Saccharomyces cerevisiae S288C: one gene and its partners. Changing the gene in region 4 together with the main gene of any one other region gives a genetic interaction. Each region holds a gene or a part of one and is shown on either strand. Other genes may lie near its edges.

What was found.
Region 1: mutations in RAD18 (region 4) and LTE1 impair growth when combined (synthetic growth defect), as found in Saccharomyces cerevisiae (4 studies listed by BioGRID, with this or other methods).
Region 2: mutations in RAD18 (region 4) and TSA1 together harm fitness more than expected from each alone (negative genetic interaction), as found in Saccharomyces cerevisiae (5 studies listed by BioGRID, with this or other methods).
Region 3: mutations in RAD18 (region 4) and MGS1 are lethal when combined (synthetic lethality), as found in Saccharomyces cerevisiae (5 studies listed by BioGRID, with this or other methods).

Annotation. Positions count from the first base shown.
Region 1 is NC_001133.9:101,065-109,405, reverse strand, and holds LTE1 (mitotic regulator LTE1), read left to right. Parts: upstream 1-3,533; coding exon 3,534-7,841; downstream 7,842-8,341. Other genes in the region: nucleoside transmembrane transporter FUN26, read left to right, coding at 1-529; dolichyl-phosphate-mannose-protein mannosyltransferase PMT2, read left to right, coding at 855-3,134; ribosome biosynthesis protein MAK16, read left to right, coding at 8,261-8,341. UniProt on the Saccharomyces cerevisiae protein: GDP-GTP exchange factor for TEM1, a Ras-like protein, component of the mitotic exit network (MEN).
Region 2 is NC_001145.3:218,568-223,122, forward strand, and holds TSA1 (thioredoxin peroxidase TSA1), read left to right. Parts: upstream 1-1,570; coding exon 1,571-2,161; downstream 2,162-4,555. Other genes in the region: USA1 (Usa1p), read left to right, coding at 1-1,311; YOX1 (Yox1p), read left to right, coding at 2,839-3,996; 40S ribosomal protein uS13 RPS18B, read right to left, coding at 4,420-4,555. UniProt on the Saccharomyces cerevisiae protein: Thiol-specific peroxidase that catalyzes the reduction of hydrogen peroxide and organic hydroperoxides to water and alcohols, respectively.
Region 3 is NC_001146.8:236,306-242,180, forward strand, and holds MGS1 (ssDNA-dependent ATPase MGS1), read left to right. Parts: upstream 1-1,932; coding exon 1,933-3,696; downstream 3,697-5,875. Other genes in the region: ALG9 (dolichyl-P-Man:Man(6)GlcNAc(2)-PP-dolichol alpha-1,2-mannosyltransferase), read right to left, coding at 1-1,358; PPN2 (putative serine/threonine-protein phosphatase), read left to right, coding at 4,026-5,006; DNA-binding transcription factor RAP1, read left to right, coding at 5,384-5,875. UniProt on the Saccharomyces cerevisiae protein: Involved in the maintenance of proper DNA topology and chromosome integrity via annealing of single-stranded DNA breaks. Modulates DNA polymerase delta during replication or replication-associated repair.
Region 4 is NC_001135.5:228,830-234,189, forward strand, and holds RAD18 (E3 ubiquitin-protein ligase RAD18), read left to right. Parts: upstream 1-2,670; coding exon 2,671-4,134; downstream 4,135-5,360. Other genes in the region: HCM1 (Hcm1p), read left to right, coding at 481-2,175; GTPase-activating protein SED4, read right to left, coding at 4,296-5,360. UniProt on the Saccharomyces cerevisiae protein: E3 RING-finger protein, member of the UBC2/RAD6 epistasis group. Associates to the E2 ubiquitin conjugating enzyme UBC2/RAD6 to form the UBC2-RAD18 ubiquitin ligase complex involved in postreplicative repair (PRR) of damaged DNA.

The DNA of each region.
Region 1 (8,341 bases), on a different chromosome or scaffold from region 4:
GTACCTGGTTCTTTCCATATTCACCACGTTTGTCGTAACTCTTGTTTTTCCTGTATTTGCGTCTGCCACCTACGTGACAGGGCTTCCTTTAAGCAACGCACAGTACATACCTCTCATATTCACGCTGTGGAACCTAGGCGACCTTTACGGAAGAGTCATTGCCGACTGGCCCATGTTCCGTGACCAGAAATTTACGCCACGCAAAACCTTCATCTACTCATTGTTGCGGGTGGCCGCAATACCACTGTTCTTGATGTTCACAGCCATCACCTCCTCTTCAAGCGGCGATGAAGAGCACAATGGCTCCGTAATCGTTGACTTGTGTTACATGCTACTGCAGTTCCTTTTCGGCGTAACCAACGGGCACGTCATCTCTATGAGTTTCATGAAGGTGCCAGAGCAACTGGACAACGACGACGAGAAGGAAGCGGCCGGTGGATTCACTAATATTTTCGTTTCTACAGGACTAGCTCTGGGCAGCATCATAAGCTACGTATTCGTCTTCATAATTGACTTTATTATCAGGTAGATAGATACTGTACATACCGAAACGCCATCATTTACAGTCGTGATACGATTTACTGTCACTTAGCAATAATATCTCGTACATAGCGACAAACATACATATTATTGGACACGTCGCCCTGAAAAAAAAAAACATAAGAAAAGAATACGAAAAAAAAGAACGAAAGAACTTACGGAAAGATCCGTTTCGTGTACTGTTTATTAATAGTGTTGCATTCTTTTTGAGGGTAAAAAAAAGGTCATTTCTCGAGACTAACAACATTACCAAGGAGAACCGGCTTAGTCCACATCGCTACTGTCATTCTGTTTCGAACCGTGGTCCAGCAATCATGTCCTCGTCTTCGTCTACCGGGTACAGCAAAAACAATGCCGCCCACATTAAGCAAGAGAATACACTGAGACAAAGAGAATCGTCTTCCATCAGCGTCAGTGAGGAACTTTCGAGCGCTGATGAGAGAGACGCGGAAGATTTCTCGAAGGAAAAGCCCGCTGCACAAAGCTCACTGTTACGCCTGGAATCCGTTGTAATGCCGGTGATCTTTACTGCATTGGCGTTGTTTACCAGGATGTACAAAATCGGCATCAACAACCATGTTGTTTGGGATGAGGCGCACTTTGGTAAATTTGGTTCTTATTACTTGAGACACGAATTTTACCACGATGTCCATCCTCCCCTAGGAAAAATGCTGGTCGGGTTGTCTGGTTATTTGGCAGGCTACAACGGTTCTTGGGACTTCCCTTCTGGGGAAATTTACCCAGACTATTTGGATTATGTTAAAATGAGACTGTTCAACGCGTCATTTTCCGCGCTCTGTGTGCCATTGGCCTACTTCACTGCCAAAGCTATTGGATTTTCTTTACCAACAGTTTGGCTGATGACCGTGTTGGTTTTGTTTGAAAACTCGTATAGTACTTTGGGCAGGTTCATTCTTTTGGACTCCATGCTACTTTTCTTCACTGTCGCATCGTTCTTTAGTTTTGTTATGTTCCACAACCAGAGGTCCAAGCCGTTCTCTAGAAAGTGGTGGAAATGGCTGTTGATCACTGGTATTTCTTTGGGTTGCACTATTTCCGTCAAAATGGTGGGTCTATTTATCATCACTATGGTCGGTATCTATACTGTGATTGACTTATGGACCTTTTTGGCAGATAAATCCATGTCATGGAAAACCTATATTAACCACTGGTTGGCAAGAATATTTGGTCTTATTATCGTCCCCTTCTGCATTTTCCTATTGTGCTTCAAAATACATTTTGACCTATTATCGCATTCTGGTACAGGTGATGCTAACATGCCATCTCTTTTCCAAGCAAGATTAGTGGGTTCTGACGTCGGACAAGGCCCCCGTGACATTGCTCTAGGTTCCTCCGTTGTTTCCATCAAAAACCAAGCTCTTGGAGGATCTCTATTGCACTCACATATACAAACTTATCCAGATGGGTCCAACCAACAACAAGTAACCTGTTATGGTTACAAAGATGCTAACAACGAATGGTTTTTCAACAGAGAAAGAGGCTTACCATCATGGTCAGAAAACGAAACTGACATCGAGTATTTGAAGCCAGGTACCTCCTATAGATTGGTACACAAAAGCACGGGCAGAAACTTGCACACCCACCCAGTTGCTGCACCAGTGTCAAAGACACAATGGGAGGTTTCTGGTTACGGTGACAATGTTGTTGGTGACAACAAAGACAATTGGGTTATTGAGATCATGGACCAAAGAGGAGATGAAGACCCTGAGAAGTTGCACACATTGACCACCTCTTTCCGTATCAAGAACTTGGAGATGGGCTGTTACTTGGCTCAAACCGGTAACAGTTTGCCCGAATGGGGTTTCAGACAACAAGAGGTTGTCTGCATGAAAAACCCATTCAAGAGGGACAAGAGGACCTGGTGGAACATCGAGACCCACGAAAATGAAAGGTTGCCACCAAGACCCGAAGATTTTCAATACCCAAAGACCAACTTCTTAAAAGACTTCATTCATTTAAATCTAGCCATGATGGCCACTAATAACGCTTTGGTGCCAGATCCAGACAAATTTGATTACTTAGCTTCCTCAGCATGGCAATGGCCAACTTTGAATGTGGGTTTGAGACTATGTGGCTGGGGTGATGATAATCCAAAATACTTCCTATTGGGTACCCCAGCTTCCACGTGGGCTTCTAGTGTTGCCGTCCTCGCATTCATGGCCACGGTCGTTATCTTACTGATCAGATGGCAAAGACAATATGTGGACCTAAGAAATCCATCTAACTGGAACGTTTTCTTAATGGGCGGGTTCTACCCACTACTAGCTTGGGGCCTACACTACATGCCATTCGTTATCATGTCTAGAGTCACCTACGTTCATCATTACTTGCCTGCCTTGTATTTTGCACTGATCATTTTGGCGTACTGTTTCGACGCCGGTTTGCAAAAATGGTCCAGATCTAAGTGCGGCCGTATCATGCGGTTCGTCCTATACGCCGGATTCATGGCACTTGTAATTGGTTGCTTCTGGTACTTCTCCCCAATATCATTTGGTATGGAGGGACCAAGTAGTAACTTCCGCTACTTAAACTGGTTTTCCACTTGGGACATTGCCGACAAGCAAGAAGCATGAATTAAGATCATCGTAGTAAGTACATAAGTAAAAAACAAGAATTAAATAAAATTTCTATATCAACCAGCAGAAGAAGTGGTCTATATAAACCACTATATAATGAATTTCGATAAACACTCTTTAATTGTTAACCAGGCTGTTCTCCTTACTCATCTTTGCGATCCGATGCTGTTTTATTACCCTTCTATTTTTTCCTTTCTGCATTTTGATTTTCGCGAATAATGAAATTCTTGATCTTTTTATCAACAATGAAAAAAAAACTGTAAACAGAAACTGATAATTTCTTGAACCCTTTAGCCCACCCCAACCGTACTCGTGTTATTCGCTCGTTGATTTACGCGAACCTTTTTGTTTGCTTTACATAGCCTCTAGCCATTCAAAGATTCGCTACCCTGAACCATGGAAATATTTAGCCAGAAAGATTACTACCCGACTCCATCCTCAAATGTTATTAGCTATGAAAGCGATTGTGTATCCAAACCAGTGAATAGTGCAGACCTGCCCGCGTTAATTGTACACCTTTCTTCCCCTTTGGAAGGTGTAGACTACAACGCATCTGCAGATTTTTTCCTTATTTATAGGAATTTTATAACGCCTCAAGACTTACACGACTTACTCATCTATAGATTTCGATGGTGTATTAGGGAGATCACAACAAATGCTGCAAAAGCTAAGAGAAGGCGAATTGGTGAAGTTGCCCTCGTGAGGACGTTTGTGTTGTTGAGGCATTCCATACTGAATTATTTTGTGCAAGATTTTTTACCGAACATAACATTAAGACTTCGGTTGATCGAGTTTCTAAACGACAAACACATTGAACAGTACCCAAAAATAATTTCCAGCTGTATAATCAATCTGAAAAAAAACTGGGTGCATTGTTCTAAGTTGGTTTGGGAGAATATTGAACTAAATGAACCTGATAAATTAGACTTTGATGCATGGCTGCATTATTCGTTAAAGGATTTCACGCAACTAGAAAGCCTACACAAAAGAGGAAGCCGACTGAGCATTTACGCCAGGCAAAGTTTTGCCAGTCCTGATTTTCGTAACCAAAGCGTTTTATCATTATATAAAACTTCTGATGTATTTAGACTGCCGGAGAAGCTACAGTCTTCAAATTCTTCCAAAAACCAGAGAAGCCCTTCTATGCTTTTATTTCCCGATAATACATCAAATGTTTACTCGAAGCACCGAATAGCGAAAGAACCTTCAGTTGATAATGAAAGCGAGGACATGTCAGATAGTAAACAAAAGATCAGCCACTTGTCAAAAGTCACTCTAGTATCCACACTAATGAAAGGCGTAGACTACCCGTCATCATATGCAGTCGATAAAATAATGCCTCCAACACCGGCTAAAAAAGTTGAATTTATTCTGAATTCCTTATATATTCCTGAAGATTTAAATGAACAAAGCGGAACGCTTCAAGGTACATCGACGACATCATCTCTAGATAACAATAGCAACAGTAATAGTAGATCTAATACATCTTCAATGTCTGTGTTACATCGCAGCGCTATTGGTCTTTTAGCTAAGTGGATGAAAAACCATAATCGCCATGATAGCAGTAATGATAAAAAATTTATGAGTGCTATTAAACCAGCAAACCAGAAACCTGAAATGGATGCGTTTGTCAAATACGTTGTATCAATATCATCTCTCAATAGAAAATCTTCCAAGGAAGAAGAGGAAGAGTTTCTTAACTCTGATTCTTCTAAATTTGACATCCTAAGTGCAAGAACCATAGATGAAGTGGAGTCCCTACTGCATTTACAAAACCAGCTGATAGAAAAAGTTCAAACACATTCGAATAACAACCGAGGTCCTACAGTTAATGTTGATTGTGAACGTCGGGAACACATACATGATATAAAGATTTTACAACAAAATAGCTTTAAACCGAGTAATGATAATTTTAGCGCTATGGACAATTTGGATCTGTATCAAACCGTAAGTTCAATTGCTCAGTCAGTCATCTCTTTAACTAATACTTTAAACAAGCAACTGCAGAACAATGAATCGAATATGCAGCCATCACCCTCGTATGATGCACTGCAACGAAGGAAAGTAAAAAGTCTCACGACAGCATATTACAATAAAATGCACGGTAGCTACTCAGCAGAAAGTATGAGGCTCTTTGATAAAGATAATAGTTCTTCACGTACAGACGAGAATGGACCTCAAAGATTGTTATTCCATGAAACTGATAAAACCAACTCAGAAGCGATTACAAATATGACACCAAGGAGGAAAAATCATTCCCAATCCCAAAAAAGCATGACTTCTTCGCCTCTGAAAAATGTTCTACCTGATCTTAAAGAATCGTCTCCCTTAAACGATAGTAGGGAAGACACAGAATCAATAACATACTCATACGATTCCGAGTTGTCATCCAGCTCTCCACCCAGAGATACTGTAACGAAAAAGTCAAGAAAAGTCAGAAACATCGTGAATAATACAGATAGTCCAACTCTAAAAACAAAAACTGGATTTTTAAATCTAAGAGAGTTTACATTTGAAGATACCAAGTCTTTAGATGAGAAAAAGAGTACTATAGATGGCCTTGAAAAGAATTATGATAACAAAGAAAATCAGGAATCAGAATATGAGAGCACAAAAAAGCTGGACAACTCACTCGATGCATCATCAGAAGCCAATAATTATGATATAACTACAAGAAAAAAACATTCATCTTGCAATCACAAGATCAAACAAGCAGTTGTAAGACCGGCTAGTGGAAGGATCAGCATTTCAAGAGTTCAAAGCATTGCCATAACACCAACCAAAGAGTTATCCATAGTAGATCCTGAGCAAAACAAGTCAAACTCAGTTATAGAGGAAATAAGTGAAATAGAACCTCTCAACCTGGAATATAATAAAAAAAGCGCGTTGTACTCTGATACATCGTCCACCGTTATCAGTATCTCAACGAGCAAGCTTTTTGAATCTGCTCAGAATAGTCCTCTAAAACAAACTCAAAATCCACAGAGAGAATTTCCCAACGGGACCAGCGTGAGTGAAACCAATAGAATCAGATTATCCATAGCACCCACAATAGAATCTGTTGTAAGTGATTTGAATTCGATTACCACTGGTAGCACAGTTGAAACTTTCGAAACGTCCAGAGATTTACCAGTGCCACACCAAAGGATAATAAATTTGAGAGAAGAATATCAAAGGGGTAATCAAGATATAATCTCAAATACTTCTTCATTGCATGAGTTAAAAACAATTGATTTAAGCGATTCCAATAATGACCTAGAAAGTCCAAGTACCCATGCGAAAAACAACAAGTATTTTTTTTCACCAGATGACGGTAGCATTGACGTTGCTTCTCCAATGAAAAACGTTGAAGAGCTGAAAAGTAAATTTCTGAAGAACGAGAGTGAAACTAATAGTAACATATCAGGAAGTGTATTGACAATGGACGATATCGACATTAATGACACATCTAGTGCCCGGAACACACGGAGAGCAAACTCTGAGTCGGCTTTTACAGGCTCCTTGAATAAGAAAAATTTAAATGAAATTGCTAATATGCTCGATGATTCAATTAATGACGATCCAATAACCGTGGCATTAATGAAACTGGAAGGTACATACGAGAAAATTCCCGAAAAACCAGAGAACACCAAGAGTAGTGACGCTATTGGAATTAAAACGAGCAAGTTAGCAGATGAAGTGGAAATGCTAAACCTTAACAACTTGCCGTCATTCCAAAATAGCCCCGCAGAAAAAAGAAAATCGTTATTAATAGAAAGAAGGAGACAAACTATAATGAATATCCCCTTTACTCCAGATCAATCCGAGAAGGAAGGCTTTACTTCCTCCTCTCCTGAAAAAATAGACGTGTCAGCTAATGTTGATGTTGCTGTGCAAGCGGCGCAAATCCAGGAATTAATCGGTCAATACAGGATTCACGATTCGAGATTAATGATTTCTAATAATGAAAGTCACGTTCCATTTATACTAATGTACGATTCCCTGTCTGTAGCGCAACAAATGACCTTGATAGAGAAGGAAATTTTAGGAGAAATAGACTGGAAAGATTTATTAGATTTAAAGATGAAGCATGAAGGCCCACAAGTTATAAGTTGGTTGCAACTACTAGTAAGGAACGAGACCTTATCTGGCATTGATTTAGCTATATCCAGATTTAACTTAACTGTGGATTGGATTATATCAGAAATACTTCTTACCAAGAGCAGCAAAATGAAAAGAAATGTCATTCAAAGGTTTATACACGTTGCAGACCACTGCAGGACATTTCAGAACTTTAACACATTGATGGAAATCATTCTAGCCTTAAGTTCTTCAGTTGTTCAAAAATTCACTGATGCATGGCGTCTGATTGAACCAGGCGACTTACTGACTTGGGAAGAGCTAAAGAAGATTCCCTCGCTAGACAGGAATTATTCTACAATAAGAAATCTACTTAACTCTGTGAATCCACTGGTGGGTTGCGTCCCTTTCATCGTCGTATATCTTTCGGACCTATCAGCAAACGCAGAGAAGAAAGACTGGATCTTAGAAGATAAAGTAGTGAATTACAATAAATTCGATACGAACGTTCAAATAGTCAAGAATTTCATTCAAAGGGTTCAATGGTCCAAGTTTTACACTTTCAAAGTTAACCACGAATTGCTGAGTAAGTGTGTTTATATTAGCACATTAACACAAGAAGAGATTAATGAACTATCCACATGAGGTATTGTGCCACTTTCCTCCAGTTCCCAAATTCCTCTTGTAAAAAACTTTGCATATAAAATATACAGATGGAGCATATATAGATGGAGCATACATACATGTTTTTTTTTTTTTAAAAACATGGACTCGAACAGAATAAAAGAATTTATAATGATAGATAATGCATACTTCAATAAGAGAGAATACTTGTTTTTAAATGAGAATTGCTTTCATTAGCTCATTATGTTCAGATTATCAAAATGCAGTAGGGTAATAAACCTTTTTTTTTTTTTTTTTTTTTTTTGAAAAATTTTCCGATGAGCTTTTGAAAAAAAATGAAAAAGTGATTGGTATAGAGGCAGATATTGCATTGCTTAGTTCTTTCTTTTGACAGTGTTCTCTTCAGTACATAACTACAACGGTTAGAATACAACGAGGATATGTCCGACGAAATTGTTTGGCAAGTGATTAATCAAAGTTTCTGCTCTCATAGAATTAAGGCACCTAATGGTCAAAATTTT
Region 2 (4,555 bases), on a different chromosome or scaffold from region 4:
GAATCTGGAAATGACATCGTGCCCACAGATGAGCTTTATAGGAAATGCATTATCAACGGGGATGAAGTAGTATTCATTCCTGTTAGCGAACTAAATCCACAATCGAGCTATTTGTCCGTGATCAAAGGCGATTACGGTGAAATTAAAATCCCCATATCTAGTAATGACTACAGAATTAATGGCGATAATATTTTGCTATCACCATCTGCGATAGAGCAGTTAGAATCTGCTTTGAACTTCAAAATCGAGAGACCACGGGATTCGACACTCTTGCATCCGTCTGGTGAGCATGTTCGAGCTGCAGATAATACCTCTTCGGCAAATGATAATAATACAGTTGAGAATGACGAGTCAGCGTGGAATAGAAGGGTAGTGCGTCCCTTGAGAAACAGCTTCCCGCTGCTATTGGTATTGATAAGAACATTTTACTTAATTGGCTATAATTCATTGGTTCCCTTTTTTATTATTTTGGAGTTTGGAAGCTTCCTTCCCTGGAAATATATCATTTTACTAAGCTTGCTTTTCATTTTTAGGACTGTTTGGAATACCCAAGAGGTGTGGAATTTATGGCGAGACTATCTCCACTTGAATGAAATTGACGAAGTCAAGTTTAGCCAGATCAAGGAGTTCATCAATTCCAATTCATTGACCTTAAATTTCTACAAGAAATGTAAGGACACTCAATCCGCTATTGATTTACTGATGATACCTAATCTACATGAGCAAAGGCTATCGGTCTATTCTAAGTATGATATTGAGTACGACACCAACACCCCTGACGTTGGACAATTGAATTTGCTATTTATCAAGGTGCTATCGGGTGAGATTCCTAAGGACGCGCTAGATGAGTTGTTCAAAGAGTTTTTCGAATTGTATGAAACGACAAGAAACATGAACACACTATATCCTCAAGACTCTTTGAACGAATTGCTGCTGATGATTTGGAAGGAGTCCCAAAAGAAAGACATCAATACGCTACCCAAGTACAGAAGATGGTTCCAAACCTTGTGCTCGCAAATAGCGGAGCATAACGTCCTTGATGTCGTACTCAGATACATAATTCCAGACCCGGTAAACGATAGGGTGATAACCGCTGTGATAAAGAACTTCGTGCTCTTTTGGGTTACACTACTCCCCTATGTGAAGGAGAAGCTGGATGATATTGTTGCACAGAGAGCAAGGGACCGTGAGCAACCGGCTCCATCTGCCCAACAGCAGGAAAACGAAGATGAGGCCCTCATAATCCCTGACGAGGAAGAACCCACCGCCACAGGTGCGCAACCTCATCTCTACATTCCTGATGAAGACTAATTGCAATGCGATGTGGCCACGTTATATAATGCGTTTAAGGTGTACGAAAACCCATGCTGTTCTGGCCCGTCGGGTTTTCTGACAAATTGTCCTTTAGGGATTTTTCGGTTTGGCTCGGGTTGGCAAAGTCGGCTGGCAACAAACCAGGACATATATAAAGGGAGGTAATTCGTCAGATCAATGCCGAACCGTTCTCAACGGGCCTTCCCCTCGTTCAATTGCTCACAACCAACCACAACTACATACACATACATACACAATGGTCGCTCAAGTTCAAAAGCAAGCTCCAACTTTTAAGAAAACTGCCGTCGTCGACGGTGTCTTTGACGAAGTCTCCTTGGACAAATACAAGGGTAAGTACGTTGTCCTAGCCTTTATTCCATTGGCCTTCACTTTCGTCTGTCCAACCGAAATCATTGCTTTCTCAGAAGCTGCTAAGAAATTCGAAGAACAAGGCGCTCAAGTTCTTTTCGCCTCCACTGACTCCGAATACTCCCTTTTGGCATGGACCAATATCCCAAGAAAGGAAGGTGGTTTGGGCCCAATCAACATTCCATTGTTGGCTGACACCAACCACTCTTTGTCCAGAGACTATGGTGTCTTGATCGAAGAAGAAGGTGTCGCCTTGAGAGGTTTGTTCATCATCGACCCAAAGGGTGTCATTAGACACATCACCATTAACGATTTGCCAGTCGGTAGAAACGTTGACGAAGCCTTGAGATTGGTTGAAGCCTTCCAATGGACCGACAAGAACGGTACTGTCTTGCCATGTAACTGGACTCCAGGTGCTGCTACCATCAAGCCAACCGTTGAAGACTCCAAGGAATACTTCGAAGCTGCCAACAAATAAGACGCTTGCAGAGTTGTCTAAATGACTACTTATTTAAAATTCACTCTTTACGTTTATACCTATCTATCTATATATAAAACCCATAAACTTAATGCTATTCACTGACAAAACGATACACTACCGTCTAAGAAGCTATTCACACTAGCTCAGTTCTAATAACAATCATCGTCTGGCTCTAAAACGCGTAAACCATTCACTGCCACACTCACTTTAGCTCTGTTGCTGCCCTTCATACGCTGAGACGCGACGCTTCTTTTCTTTCATATGATTTCCCTTCTAGGCGACACGCCATGCCCCAAACGGGGAACACCGCGAATTCCTTCTGGTGCCCGGTTTCCTCTTTGGGAAGGGCGTCAAAATGGTACAGCTCGCTATAGTCGCCAATTACTGCAGATGCTTAAAGGCTTCTGCAACTGTATGTCCAACCTAGTACGTGGAAACTTCAAACGCGAACAATCTGTATGCTGTTTCGGGCTACTTATTGCTCTATACGGTTTTTAGTGGACACGAACTCTTGTAATTATTATATATATATATGCCTTGGCATTTTAACAAGACTCTATGTTGTGATTTCAGTATGATTTGGGTGAAAACACAGTGGTGACCACAGAACAACGAGGTAACAGTTCCAGACCACTACCTTTCCCCTTCAATCTTTGTGATTTGATCAATTCTTGATGTCACAAGAAACAAAAATGCTACCTTCTCTATCTAGTCTTCTATCGGGAACCGAAATCTCGTCCAGCCCCGTATCACCAAGCTTCACTAATCCAAGAACGAGTTTTCACCTCGATGATCGCGGAACCATAAAATTACCACCGCTAAACACCAGTATCAATCGTCCAAGATCTGTGGAAAGCGCCTTGAGACACACTGTTACATCCTTGCATGAAAATAGCAGCGCTTATGGTGATGACATGCTCAAGCACACGCAATCAGACTCAGCCCTCTCATCTCAGTTGAATAGTTCTCAAGAAACAGTTGATGAATCACACGAAAACCTTCTACTGACTCCCCTAAATAGCAAAAAGAGAGATTATTCGGTTTCTTCAAAGAAAAACGACATATTAACACCACTCTCTGCAGCGAAGTCGATTATTATCCCCTCTGCCTCTAAGGAAAAAAGACGTGCATTTGCTTTCATCACACACTCGCAGGAGACCTTCCCTAAGAAGGAGCCTAAGATCGACAACGCTCCACTAGCACGCCGAAAGAGAAGAAGAACCTCGTCCCAGGAACTATCTATTCTTCAGGCTGAATTTGAAAAATGTCCTGCTCCATCGAAGGAGAAACGAATTGAGTTAGCTGAATCTTGCCATATGACTGAAAAAGCCGTTCAAATATGGTTCCAGAATAAAAGACAAGCGGTTAAAAGGCAGAGAATCGCCACTTCGAAGTCAACCACTATAATACAAACGGTATCTCCACCATCTCCGCCTCTGGACGTTCATGCTACGCCACTAGCATCCAGAGTCAAGGCGGACATACTTCGTGATGGAAGCTCATGTTCTCGTTCTTCCTCTTCTTCACCGCTGGAAAATACGCCGCCAAGGCCTCATCATTCCCTAAATAGGCGCTCATCCACACCAAGCATAAAGAGAAGCCAGGCTTTAACATTCCATCTAAACCCACAAAAGAAGACGTTGACTCCCGTGAAAACGTCTCCCAACAGCAGAGTAAATAAATTGATCAATAGCATAGATCATTCTCCATCCAAAGCCAAGCGTCCGGTAAGCAATCCCTCCGGCTCCCCTAAAAGGAAGAGAAAATTCGGATTCAAGATCGTCGATCAACAACCGTTGAAGGATCTTGATCCGAACGCTTTCCGTGGTTGATCTAATCTCTAGTCATTATTTATTCGCAAATTCATTTCCCTATACGGCATTCATACATATCATTGTTCACTTCAGTCCTAGCATATATCATAAAATATACAATTGTTTTCTAATTACCTTACGTTTTTTAAAAGACTTCTATAACACCTCTTTTAACTTTACATGTAGTCAAAATAAAGTGCAGTTCCATCGATGGTACTTTCTCACCCCGGTTGAGTGATGTTAACGATGTTTACCGTATAAAACTTAATTATATTATATCTTTTTTTGCTTATATGTTATACATAGAATAAAAAGTTGATTAAACACACATTGGTCTGAAAACACGTGTAGTACTTTCTCCTTTGAAGAATAAAAAAAGAAAATAAAGATAATAAAAACGAAAATAGCGTACAATTATTACTGATAATTTCCTTAATTGATTTAAGCTCTTCTTCTACCAGTGGTCTTGGTGTGTTGACCTCTAACACGTAAACCCCAGAAGTGTCTAATACCACGGTGGGCTCTGATCTTCTTTAATCTTTCCAAGTCATCTCTCAACTTGGATTCGACGTTGTTA
Region 3 (5,875 bases), on a different chromosome or scaffold from region 4:
TTATTCATTCCCTTAGGTAAAGTTCTAATCTTTTTGAAAATAGAACCACTCTCTGGAAAATCACCTGGAAGAAGACCATCAAATCCAGATTTAACAAATTTTAGCCTATGATTATCTGGCAGCAGGAAAGAACTTGGGAAGTGATACCATTCACGTCCCGTACATACATTCACTACCGGTGCCTTCACACCACCTTGATTTAGTGAAGAAAATTGCTCGTAGACGGCTATAGGAGCTGTGTAATTGTTCACCAAAGCCACTATCCGTGACATTGCCTGGCCTGCAACAATTAATAAAACTGACAACTTTATACCTTTTTTAAGAATCGGCTTTCTATTGAATAGATTCAACACTTTGTAAAAGGCGATACTTGCACTCAAAGTTATTAACCCGTAAATTGGATAGAGAAATCTTTCCTCTTTGTGAGGTTGTTGAGTGAAAACGGCAATCCATGTGAATAATGATGCCCATAATGGCCATAATCTCAAATGGAAAATTCCCAAAATAGCTAAAACTAGCACAGGCAGTGGGAAATTCAGTAACAAATTTAGTGGATAGTAGTACCATGGCTCAACCCCGAAAATATTTGGGCCAGATTCCTCACTTGCATTAATGACATTGTAAAATAAGATGTTCCATGATACAGGAGCAAGCTTCCCGTAAAATATACTGTCAGTGACAATCACAGCAAATGCAGTCAATGAAAATATCAAACAGCAGTCGAATGCGGTTCTGATGGTAGAAATAATTCTATGGTTGAAAAGGTAATGTAAACATAATGGCAAGCTTAAAATTAAAACAAATGGCCAGCCTAGTATACTAGCCAGGAAATTGTACGCTAAACTTTTCGTAAAGTTAGAAGTAGACCCAGTGGACAGATAGCGTAGAGAGTGTCTGGTGGCACCTACATACAACAACATGGCAACGGCAGAAGGCAATAATTCCACAGATGCATGGAACCAGCCCGGATTAAACAATTGGAAAATAATCCAAATATTTGCGATTTGCAATGCCAAGCTGCCTGCAATTTCACGATGTAGTTTAAATTCCATGATAAAACTAAAAAAGCCTAAGCATGCTCTTGTGATGAAAAAGTTCCAATGACTTTCTAGGTCAGTAAATTTGTTTACTGGATAAAGAATACAGTAAAAAGGTAATAAGAAAGCCCATGATCTAATAGAATACTCGGGTGAATATTCCCAGGTTTGTTTACCAAATCCACGTACCAATAAATTTAATGGTTCCCAATAATTAAAAGTTTCATCGCAATCTGAAATTAACGAGAATGTCGGCTGAATATATACTCTTGTTAAAAATAACAACAGTAATAAACTAATGGTTACCGCCTTGCAATTCATCGTTCCCTTATAATTGTGCTTCAGGGTGAAAAAAGAGCCAATTCGATACAGCTAAAGTTTTGAAATCTCGTTGAGTAGCCGTAATGGTACAATAAAAACGAAAAAGTATTCTCTATTGTGTCAAAAACACCCCTGTATATCCAGTTGTCCCTTTTTCAAGCTTGTATTGACAGTTCTGAATATCGCAGAACGGTTCTCATCAAAATTCAATATTGCGTAACGGACTTATTGTTGCATTTTCAAGTAAATAAGCCGGGTCAGGATGCCCGCCGTAGATAGTAAAAAGTAGGTATAACATGCGCAAGAGCAAAACGGATTTGACAACATATCCAAGTGATAAGTGGTCGTTTAGATACATCATATACTATAACGGTTTGATATTGAGAGCCCAGTTAAAATTAACATCTGTTTTTTGTTTTTTAATTGACATTCAATCATCGGTTGCTTTCCTTGTGAAACTGTACGCGTTGTCTTAAACGAAACGTGTTTTAAGGTAGGTCATCGACAGGTAAAAAATAGCTTATTAGCAGAAGAACGCTAGCGGTAAGATCTGAAACAGGATCGCACAGTCTCAATGAGTAACAAGAGGACATCTGTAGAACAGCTCATATCATGCCCAATTTGCTCTAGAAAAGTCTTTTTTTCCTTAATCAACTCTCATCTTGACATATGTGGCAAGGAAAAGTCAAAGCCTTCGAGTAGGCCACAAACGGTGTCAAGTCTTTTGGCAGGCCCAAAAAAGAGGAAACAAGCTAACTCAGAGAAATTCATTGATCTTGAAAATAAGGACCATGAAATTAAGCCAGGTCTTAAGAGCGAGAGTGATGATATTGAGATTGTTGAAAATGAAAGCAAAAGATTTAAGGCAGCACCATCCACGGATTTTGCGAAATCAATAGTGGAGCCTGCTTCGAGCAGAGATCAACTTCACAACGATTACGAAAGCAGATGGTTGCAGAAAATAAGCCATTTGCCACTTAGTGAAAAATTGAGGCCAAAAGAATTAAGAGATTATGTAGGTCAGCAGCACATTCTCTCTCAAGATAATGGTACATTGTTCAAATACATAAAACAAGGGACTATACCATCTATGATACTCTGGGGCCCTCCAGGTGTAGGAAAGACTTCACTAGCTAGACTATTAACGAAAACTGCGACAACCAGTAGTAATGAATCAAATGTTGGTTCCAGGTACTTCATGATCGAAACAAGTGCGACAAAGGCAAATACGCAAGAATTGAGAGGTATATTTGAAAAATCAAAAAAGGAATATCAATTGACCAAAAGAAGAACTGTACTTTTTATTGATGAAATTCACAGATTCAATAAAGTTCAACAGGATTTGTTATTGCCACACGTAGAAAACGGTGACATTATTTTGATTGGTGCAACGACAGAAAATCCAAGTTTTCAGCTGAACAATGCTCTCATTAGCAGATGTCTGATTTTTGTCCTAGAAAAGCTGAATGTCAACGAACTGTGTATTGTTTTATCAAGAGGAATTGCATTATTGAATAAATGCAGGAAACAAGTATGGAATATTGAAAATCCTTTGAAATTGTCTAGAAGCATACTGGAGTACGTGGTAGATCTGTCGGTGGGTGATACAAGGAGGGCGTTAAATATGTTGGAAATGATCGAAGTTTCAACAAGAGAGCGCAAGGCCGACGAGGAAGAATTATCTATCGATGATGTACGAGACATAATTAAGAACAACAGCAGCAACGGGTTGAATACATACTATGACCCAAAGGGAGATAACCATTATGATACAATCTCTGCGTTTCATAAATCCATTAGAGGTGGGGACGAAAACGCCTCACTGTACTATTTAGCAAGAATGTTGCAGGGAGGAGAGGACCCATTGTATGTTGCCCGAAGAATGATTCGAATAGCTTCTGAAGATATCGGATTACGGGATAGTTCATTATTGCCCTTGGCTGTCGCGGCACATGACGCAGTAATGAAAGTTGGTTTGCCAGAGGCAGACCTTGCACTGGCGCAATGTTGTGTTGCTTTGGCTAGGGCACCAAAGTCAGTAGAACTATATAGAGCTTGGAAGAAATTAAGGGCAATGATGAGCGAGAACATGTACAGTTTAGCAAGCAGTGAGATACCGATGCATATCAGAAATGCGCCAACCAAATTGATGGAGGAGCTGGGTTATCATAAAGGCTACAAGTACAATCCCGATTATATTGAAGGAAAAGTCCAACAAGACTACTTTCCCAAAGAAGTGCTCGAGAAATGTCCAAATAAAACTGACTTAAAGTTCCTGGACGGCAAACATTTAGGAGACAAAGAAGATCCTGACTTGAGACAGTCATATCAGGGTTAGTCAAGGGTCTTCCATACTTCTCTCAATGCCGCGTCTACAATTCATATTTTTTTCTCTGTTGGCCAATGCCGCTTGTTTTTTTACGCTTGAGGCGCATTGCATTGCTGGCACGTTTTTGTGCAGCATGAACGATATAAACTATAATTTTAGATAATCAAGGATCCACCTTTTTTTTTCATGCTAGAAAAGTCTCGCGGGCCCATCTGAGATATATTAGAACATATACGCATCCTATAAGAAGAGCACATTATTCTTGAATTAGTTCTTCCTTTTCCTCGACCTTCCAGCTTGTAAAATGAGCCAGGCTTGAGGAGCATAGATACGCAAAAATGGAAGATAAGCGGAAAAGACGAGCCGCTACACTTAGTACAGCATTGATATTATTTGTGGCATGCTGCGTTTATACACTATATATATTCAAGTTTGATAACCCTCGGTTGTCTCCACCAGTTTCCTTATTGCCTACAATTAGCACCTTGAAGAAAATTGAGCATGTAACAGATTTAAATAAGGAGTACGTTTTTGTTGGTGACGTTCATGGTAACTATGATGAGTTCATAGAACTCATTGATGACAAGATTGGAGGACTAGGAGAAAATATAACAATGATATTGCTGGGTGACTTTATTCACAAGGGCCCGGACTCAGACAAGGTCGTGTCGTATATTCTAAATCACAAGGATCAAGTCAAGTGCGTTTTGGGCAATCATGAAATATTGGTCATGATGGCCTATTTAAACCCAGACTTCTCGAAATGGGTAAGACGCCCCAAATTAATGACACCTTTAACTTTCAGTACGGAGACTAATTTCATACCACAAGACATCTCTAAAATCAGCAACGCACATGGACGGTTAGCTCGCGAACTTGGGTTTTCCAAATTAAGTCAGCTAGCGGAACATTGTTCTATGGCCATAGAACTAGATCTGGATATTACCGGTGATATACTCTTTGGTGCACATGCAGGGATGGTTCCGGGAGACTTCATGAAGCCCAACCAAATTCCGGGCGTGAGCTCTCTGTCAAACATGAAGTACGTTGATAAGAAGAACTGGTCAAAAACATCACGTGAAAAGGAAAACAAGAATTATGTGAGATGGTACACACTGTGGGACAAATACGGAGACCACTTTAGTAACGCCAAAGTATTTTACGGGCACGATGCATCCATGGGACTAAACCTACGGAGACAGACCAAAGGTTTGGACACAGCATGTATAAAGAACAATCTGCTTTCATCTATGAAAGTGAAGTACGATATTAAGAAGGGGCAATATGACTATGAATTAATTCAAGTACAATGCTCTTAAAACAAAAAGTACTACTTAAAAGCGCAACAGATTTTATATAATGTACTATATGAAAAAGATATGAATATTATTATGTAACTCATAATACTGAATCTTAAATTTCAATGAAACTTTCGCTGGAGCTACAAGTATTCTTGCCCAATGGCCGCTACCCGCCTCTTCTTCGTTGTTGAAGTTTTAAAATTTAGCGAGAAAAGAAAACAAAACCGAAAACAGACAACCGCAATCATTTCTTCAACACCCAACATCCAGCACCTAAACACCATCAATACACGTTTTAAACAAAACAAACCCATAGCCCAAAAGGTAGTAAACACAAACCGTTGTATACGCAACCGCCCTACATAAGACACTATTTGCGTACAGATTATCTCAATATGTCTAGTCCAGATGATTTTGAAACTGCACCAGCAGAATATGTTGATGCATTGGATCCGAGTATGGTCGTTGTTGACAGTGGTTCTGCTGCAGTCACAGCGCCATCGGATTCAGCCGCTGAGGTAAAAGCTAATCAAAACGAAGAAAACACTGGTGCTACTGCTGCTGAAACTAGTGAGAAAGTGGATCAGACGGAGGTCGAAAAGAAAGATGATGATGATACCACTGAAGTCGGTGTAACAACTACCACGCCTTCCATTGCTGATACTGCTGCTACCGCTAACATTGCTTCGACATCAGGTGCATCTGTTACTGAACCTACTACTGATGACACCGCTGCTGATGAGAAAAAGGAACAAGTAAGTGGTCCTCCTCTGTCAAATATGAAATTCTATCTTAATCGCGACGCGGATGCGCATGACTCTTTAAATGATATTGATCAATTAGCGCGTCTGATTAGAGCAAACGGTGGTGAAGTGCTAGACTCCAAG
Region 4 (5,360 bases):
ATTATCTCTCTCCCAACGTTTTAGAAGAGGTTTTCGTCTCCTTCGTCAAAGACGACCACTTTCCCATTTTGGTCATTGGAACGCGAAAAAACAAAACAGACGCGAGAACGCGACGCGAAAAAATATATTTTTCCGTTTTTTTTTTTTTTCGGAACAAAGATAACGCGTTAAAACCTGTGGATGTAATAAGGATCTGAAACACTGACTAAAACGCGTCCTCATTTAAAATCAAAAAATTACTTCTTCTCCTCCCTTACGGTGCCCTTTGATCCTTCTCAAACTTTAAATATATGTTGCATGATTAATTGAAAATCATATAGAGTATATCTTAACAGAGGTTCCAACGCTTTAAATCGTATTCTATTCTTTTCCCCCCTTTTATTATAGTTACATCTACTATTTGAGCTTCTTTTATTGACCGAAACTACCTCTTATTTCGAAGCAAAAAAAAAAAAAATCAACAAAAATTCCAACTTTTCAATGATGAATGAAGACATATCCATCATTGATGGCCATAATAGTTTTTTAACGGAAAAAAGCACCGTGCTATTAACCCAAGCCAAGAGAACACTAGAAGACGAAAAGGAAATGATTACTCCCCCGAGCTCAACTGTGAGAAAAACAATGAAGGAAGTAAATAAGAGGCCGTCGCATCCCCTCTCACCGGATCACTCGTCCCCAATTGCTCCATCTAAGGCCAAGCGCCAAAGATCGGACACATGCGCTCGGTCCAATGGTAACCTAACCTTGGAAGAAATTCTTCAATCTTTGGAAAGAAGAAGAATAAATGGTGAACTCGCCAAGAAACCTCCATATTCGTATGCAACTTTGATTTGCTTGGCCATTTTGCAATCTCAGGAGGGAAAGCTAACGCTATCCCAGATATATCATTGGATCCACGTTCACTTCCCTTATTACAAGCAGAAAGATGCTAGTTGGCAAAATTCAATAAGACATAACTTGTCTTTAAATGATGCGTTCATCAAGACTGAAAAGTCCTGCGATGGTAAGGGTCATTTCTGGGAGGTCAGACCGGGTGCCGAAACAAAATTTTTCAAAGGTGAAAATCGTGGTTATGAATTTGTAAAGGACTCCTTACAAGACATTGGGAAGTATTTTGAAATAGATTCTACACTTGATGAATTAGAACAAGTTGAGAGTGGAGAAGGCAATGATGATCTTCCTGACGAGGAAGAAAGAGAGGAAGCAGGGAAATTCCCTTCCATTGAAATTCAATTGAACTCCTCCCCTATACTGAGAGTTTCCCAGTTACATCACATACCGCAATTGAAAACAGACAACAGTGTACTGAACCCTCACGAAAACCTAGAATCGATGCGGAACATGATAGAAAACGATGTCAACAATATAGATTCCTTGGAACCTCCTTATGTCATGAAGAAATATCATACTTCTTTAGGCTTACCGTCGCTGGTGAATGCCAAAGATCATTTCCAGGCGGGTGTGAAAAACAATAATATCACCCAGGCAAATAGATTTAATACACTCCCTATAACTAGCGCAAAGTCTCCTCAGAATTTCAGAAAATATTTCACCTCATTCAATTCAAATTTTGAAGATTTATCTCCACTTCGAAGTAATGTAGGGGCTGGTTCTCTACTCGACCCACTTCCGTATTCCCCATTGAAGCTGTACGATCAGAAAAATCTTGCGCTCATGTCGAAACCACAATCTCAGCAATCATATTCCAATTCTCAACTTCCACCTCCACCTTCCTCTCATGGTTCGGACTTACTTAAAACACCCAAGATGAGGCATTCCGATGGCTTAGAGAAAACCCCATCGCGGTTGATAAGCACACCTAAGGACGGTAACTCGATTTTGAGGAAATGGCAGACTCCTTCACACCTTTTTGAAGATTTGTACTGTTCTCCGCTATTTAGAGCTATAGAGACTCCAATCAGGTATATCACGACGCCGGGGGGCACTTTGGAAACCCAAATTTCACCAAGAAAGTCCTCTGCACCCGATGTCCTCACAAGCGCAACGAATTCCAAATTTGCTTCAAGCGGGCTGTTTGGCGTGGATGTTTATTCTGTTTGGAAGCGCGCAACTGAAAAGATTTCTGATGGTAACAATACTACGGATAGCAATCAAAAACATCATCCTTATCATAATCACCCTTCCAACGATAGCGGTAATGAAAAGAATTGACTTTTTTTTTTTTTTTTTTTCATTTTCTTTTCCTCACCGAAAACTAATTATTCTTAATCTGATGGATTCATCGCAAACGGTTGGATGAGTCCTAAACTGGGCTGGAGTTATCATATCACATAGCATTTTCTTTTTAATCTTATTGTATTGTCGGGTCAACTAACTTCTTTTCCCGCTCTTCTATGGTATAATCAATTGCAGAAGAGGCAGGAAAAAATTGTAATCATAACAAAAATGATACAAATTTTTTTTCTAAGTTTTATATTTTACATATCTTTATTTTTGATCCTTACGGATTTTTAATACAGTATTTAGCTGAAGTTTCCATTCACTTCACTTACCTTTTTGATCTCTTTTATTTTTACTTGCCCCGTTGCCTTGCATTTTTCAATAGAAAGTGAAAAACTAAGTACCACTTGAGCAATGCCACATTAGAAGAAAAACCATCCGCAAGTGAGCATCACAGCTACTAAGAAAAGGCCATTTTTACTACTCATGGACCACCAAATAACCACTGCAAGCGACTTCACGACTACTTCAATACCGAGCCTGTACCAATTGGATACACTTTTGAGATGTCACATTTGTAAAGATTTTCTAAAAGTCCCCGTCTTAACACCTTGTGGCCATACATTTTGTTCCCTTTGTATTAGAACACATTTGAATAACCAACCAAATTGTCCTCTCTGCCTTTTCGAGTTCAGAGAGTCCTTGCTGAGAAGTGAGTTCCTGGTCAGTGAAATAATTCAAAGTTATACATCCCTACGATCTTCCTTACTAGATGCACTAAGGATACCGAAGCCTACCCCTGTCCCTGAGAATGAGGAAGTACCAGGTCCTGAAAATTCTTCATGGATAGAACTCATATCAGAGTCTGAAAGTGACAGTGTAAATGCCGCTGATGATGACTTGCAAATTGTTGCAACAAGTGAAAGAAAACTTGCCAAAAGATCCATGACTGATATATTACCACTGAGTTCCAAACCATCCAAAAGGAATTTTGCAATGTTCAGAAGTGAACGTATCAAGAAAAAATCAAAGCCAAATGAACAAATGGCCCAGTGCCCCATATGTCAACAATTTTATCCTCTTAAAGCCCTTGAAAAAACACATTTGGATGAATGCCTAACTTTACAATCACTAGGCAAAAAACCAAAAATTTCTACCACTTTCCCTACAGAGTCAAATCCACATAACAAAAGTTCATCCAGATTCAAGGTACGAACTCCAGAAGTCGACAAAAGCTCATGTGGTGAGACCTCACATGTGGATAAGTATTTAAACTCAATGATGAGTGCAGAACACCAAAGATTGCCGAAGATCAATTTTACGTCTATGACTCAATCCCAAATAAAACAAAAACTGTCATCGTTGGGACTGTCAACTAATGGTACTAGGCAAAACATGATTAAAAGATACAATCACTACGAAATGCTTTGGAATTCTAATTTTTGTGATTCTCTAGAACCTGTTGATGAAGCTGAACTAAAAAGACAGTTGTTAAGCTGGGATGTTTCACACAATAAAACCCCCCAAAATAGTAGCAACAAGGGTGGAATTTCTAAATTAATGATAATGAAGAGTAATGGGAAATCTTCTTCATATAGGAAATTACTTGAAAATTTCAAAAACGATAAATTTAATAGGAAAGGATGGATGGTTATGTTTCGGAAGGATTTTGCTAGGCTTATCAGGGAAGCAAAAATGAAAATAAAAACAGGTTCATCGGACAGTTCAGGTTCAGTGGGACATTCTAATGATGGAGATGGTGTTGAAAAAGTTCAAAGTGACCAGGGAACCGAGGATCAGCAAATGGAGAAGGATCAGGACACTGTTATCAACGAAGATAGAGTTGCTGGTGAAAGAAATTTGCCTAACGAAGATTCAACTGATGCTGACTTATCAAGAGAATTAATGGACTTGAATGAATATAGTAAAGACCCACCCGGTAACAATTAAGGTGTGTATATGTAATCAGGCCTGTTTGTTAGCTTGTGCACATTTGTTAATTAATAATTTATTTAAAAATGGGCAAAATATAAATGCATAAAAGATGACATAGAGATATGTGCACAAAGCTATGTAATCATATTTAACATTAATATATATTATTTCGTTATTCACAATTCGTCATGAAGGCCAGCGTAGTTTACGGTTCCTGCTACTGCATTATCATCGTTGACAATGTTTGTATTCGAATTATTATTCAAAGGTGCTGCAATTGTTTGCGGAGGGGCCACTGGATTAGGCAAAGAAGTGATCTCCACGTTAAGTGCTGAAATAACTTCACTAGATAGAGAGACGTCTTCGGTAACATCTACCGTACCAGATGCCTGCATTTCCGTCGTAAGCATTCGGGAAACAGGAGTATTTACATTTTCGCTGATTTTGTGGCGTACCCCAAACGCTTCAGATGAATCTTTTGATGACTGTACTTCTATCATTATTTCTTTCTGTACAAATCCTGATGCATCAATTGAACTAGCAGATATTTTGTGAGGGCTACTTACAAAAGATGGTGCTGTTGTGGTTACACCTGGCATCGGCTGAGCTACTGTGCTTGACGCGCTCTCCACGGATAAAGTTCCCTTGCCTATATCAGACAGAGCGCCAATTGAAGCACCACTACTACTAAAGATCATAGATGCCATAGAAGTCCCTTCAATATTTGTGGATTCTGATAGGGAAGATTGACCAACACTCGTCTTAGGTGATTGTACAGCATCAGTGAAAACACTAGTGGGTTCCGAACTGTCAGCCAAAACACTAGTGGGTTCCGAATTGTCAGCCAAAACACTAGTGGGTTCCAAATTGTCAGCCAACACACTGGTGTATTCCGAATTATCAATCAAGGCACTGGAGCGTTCTGAATCCTCGGTAGAGAAAGCAATTACTCTCGAAGTCTTCGTTTCTGTTTTTGAGAATGAGCTAGTTGCCGTCTCCACAATAGCTGATGAAACAGGTTCAGAGATGGAATGAAATTTAGAAAAAGTGGAATCTGAGATTGAAGGGATTGATTCAGAAGCAAGAACAGAAGAAGTTACAGTCGATACTTCTATTGACTGGAAGCCAGAGGTTATAGATGAATCAGAAAATGTACTCGGATGCGAGGAAATAGAGTCCTGGGATGCTGATGTTGACAAAATTTCTTCATTTGGGATCAAATTAGACGCAACTGAGTCAAA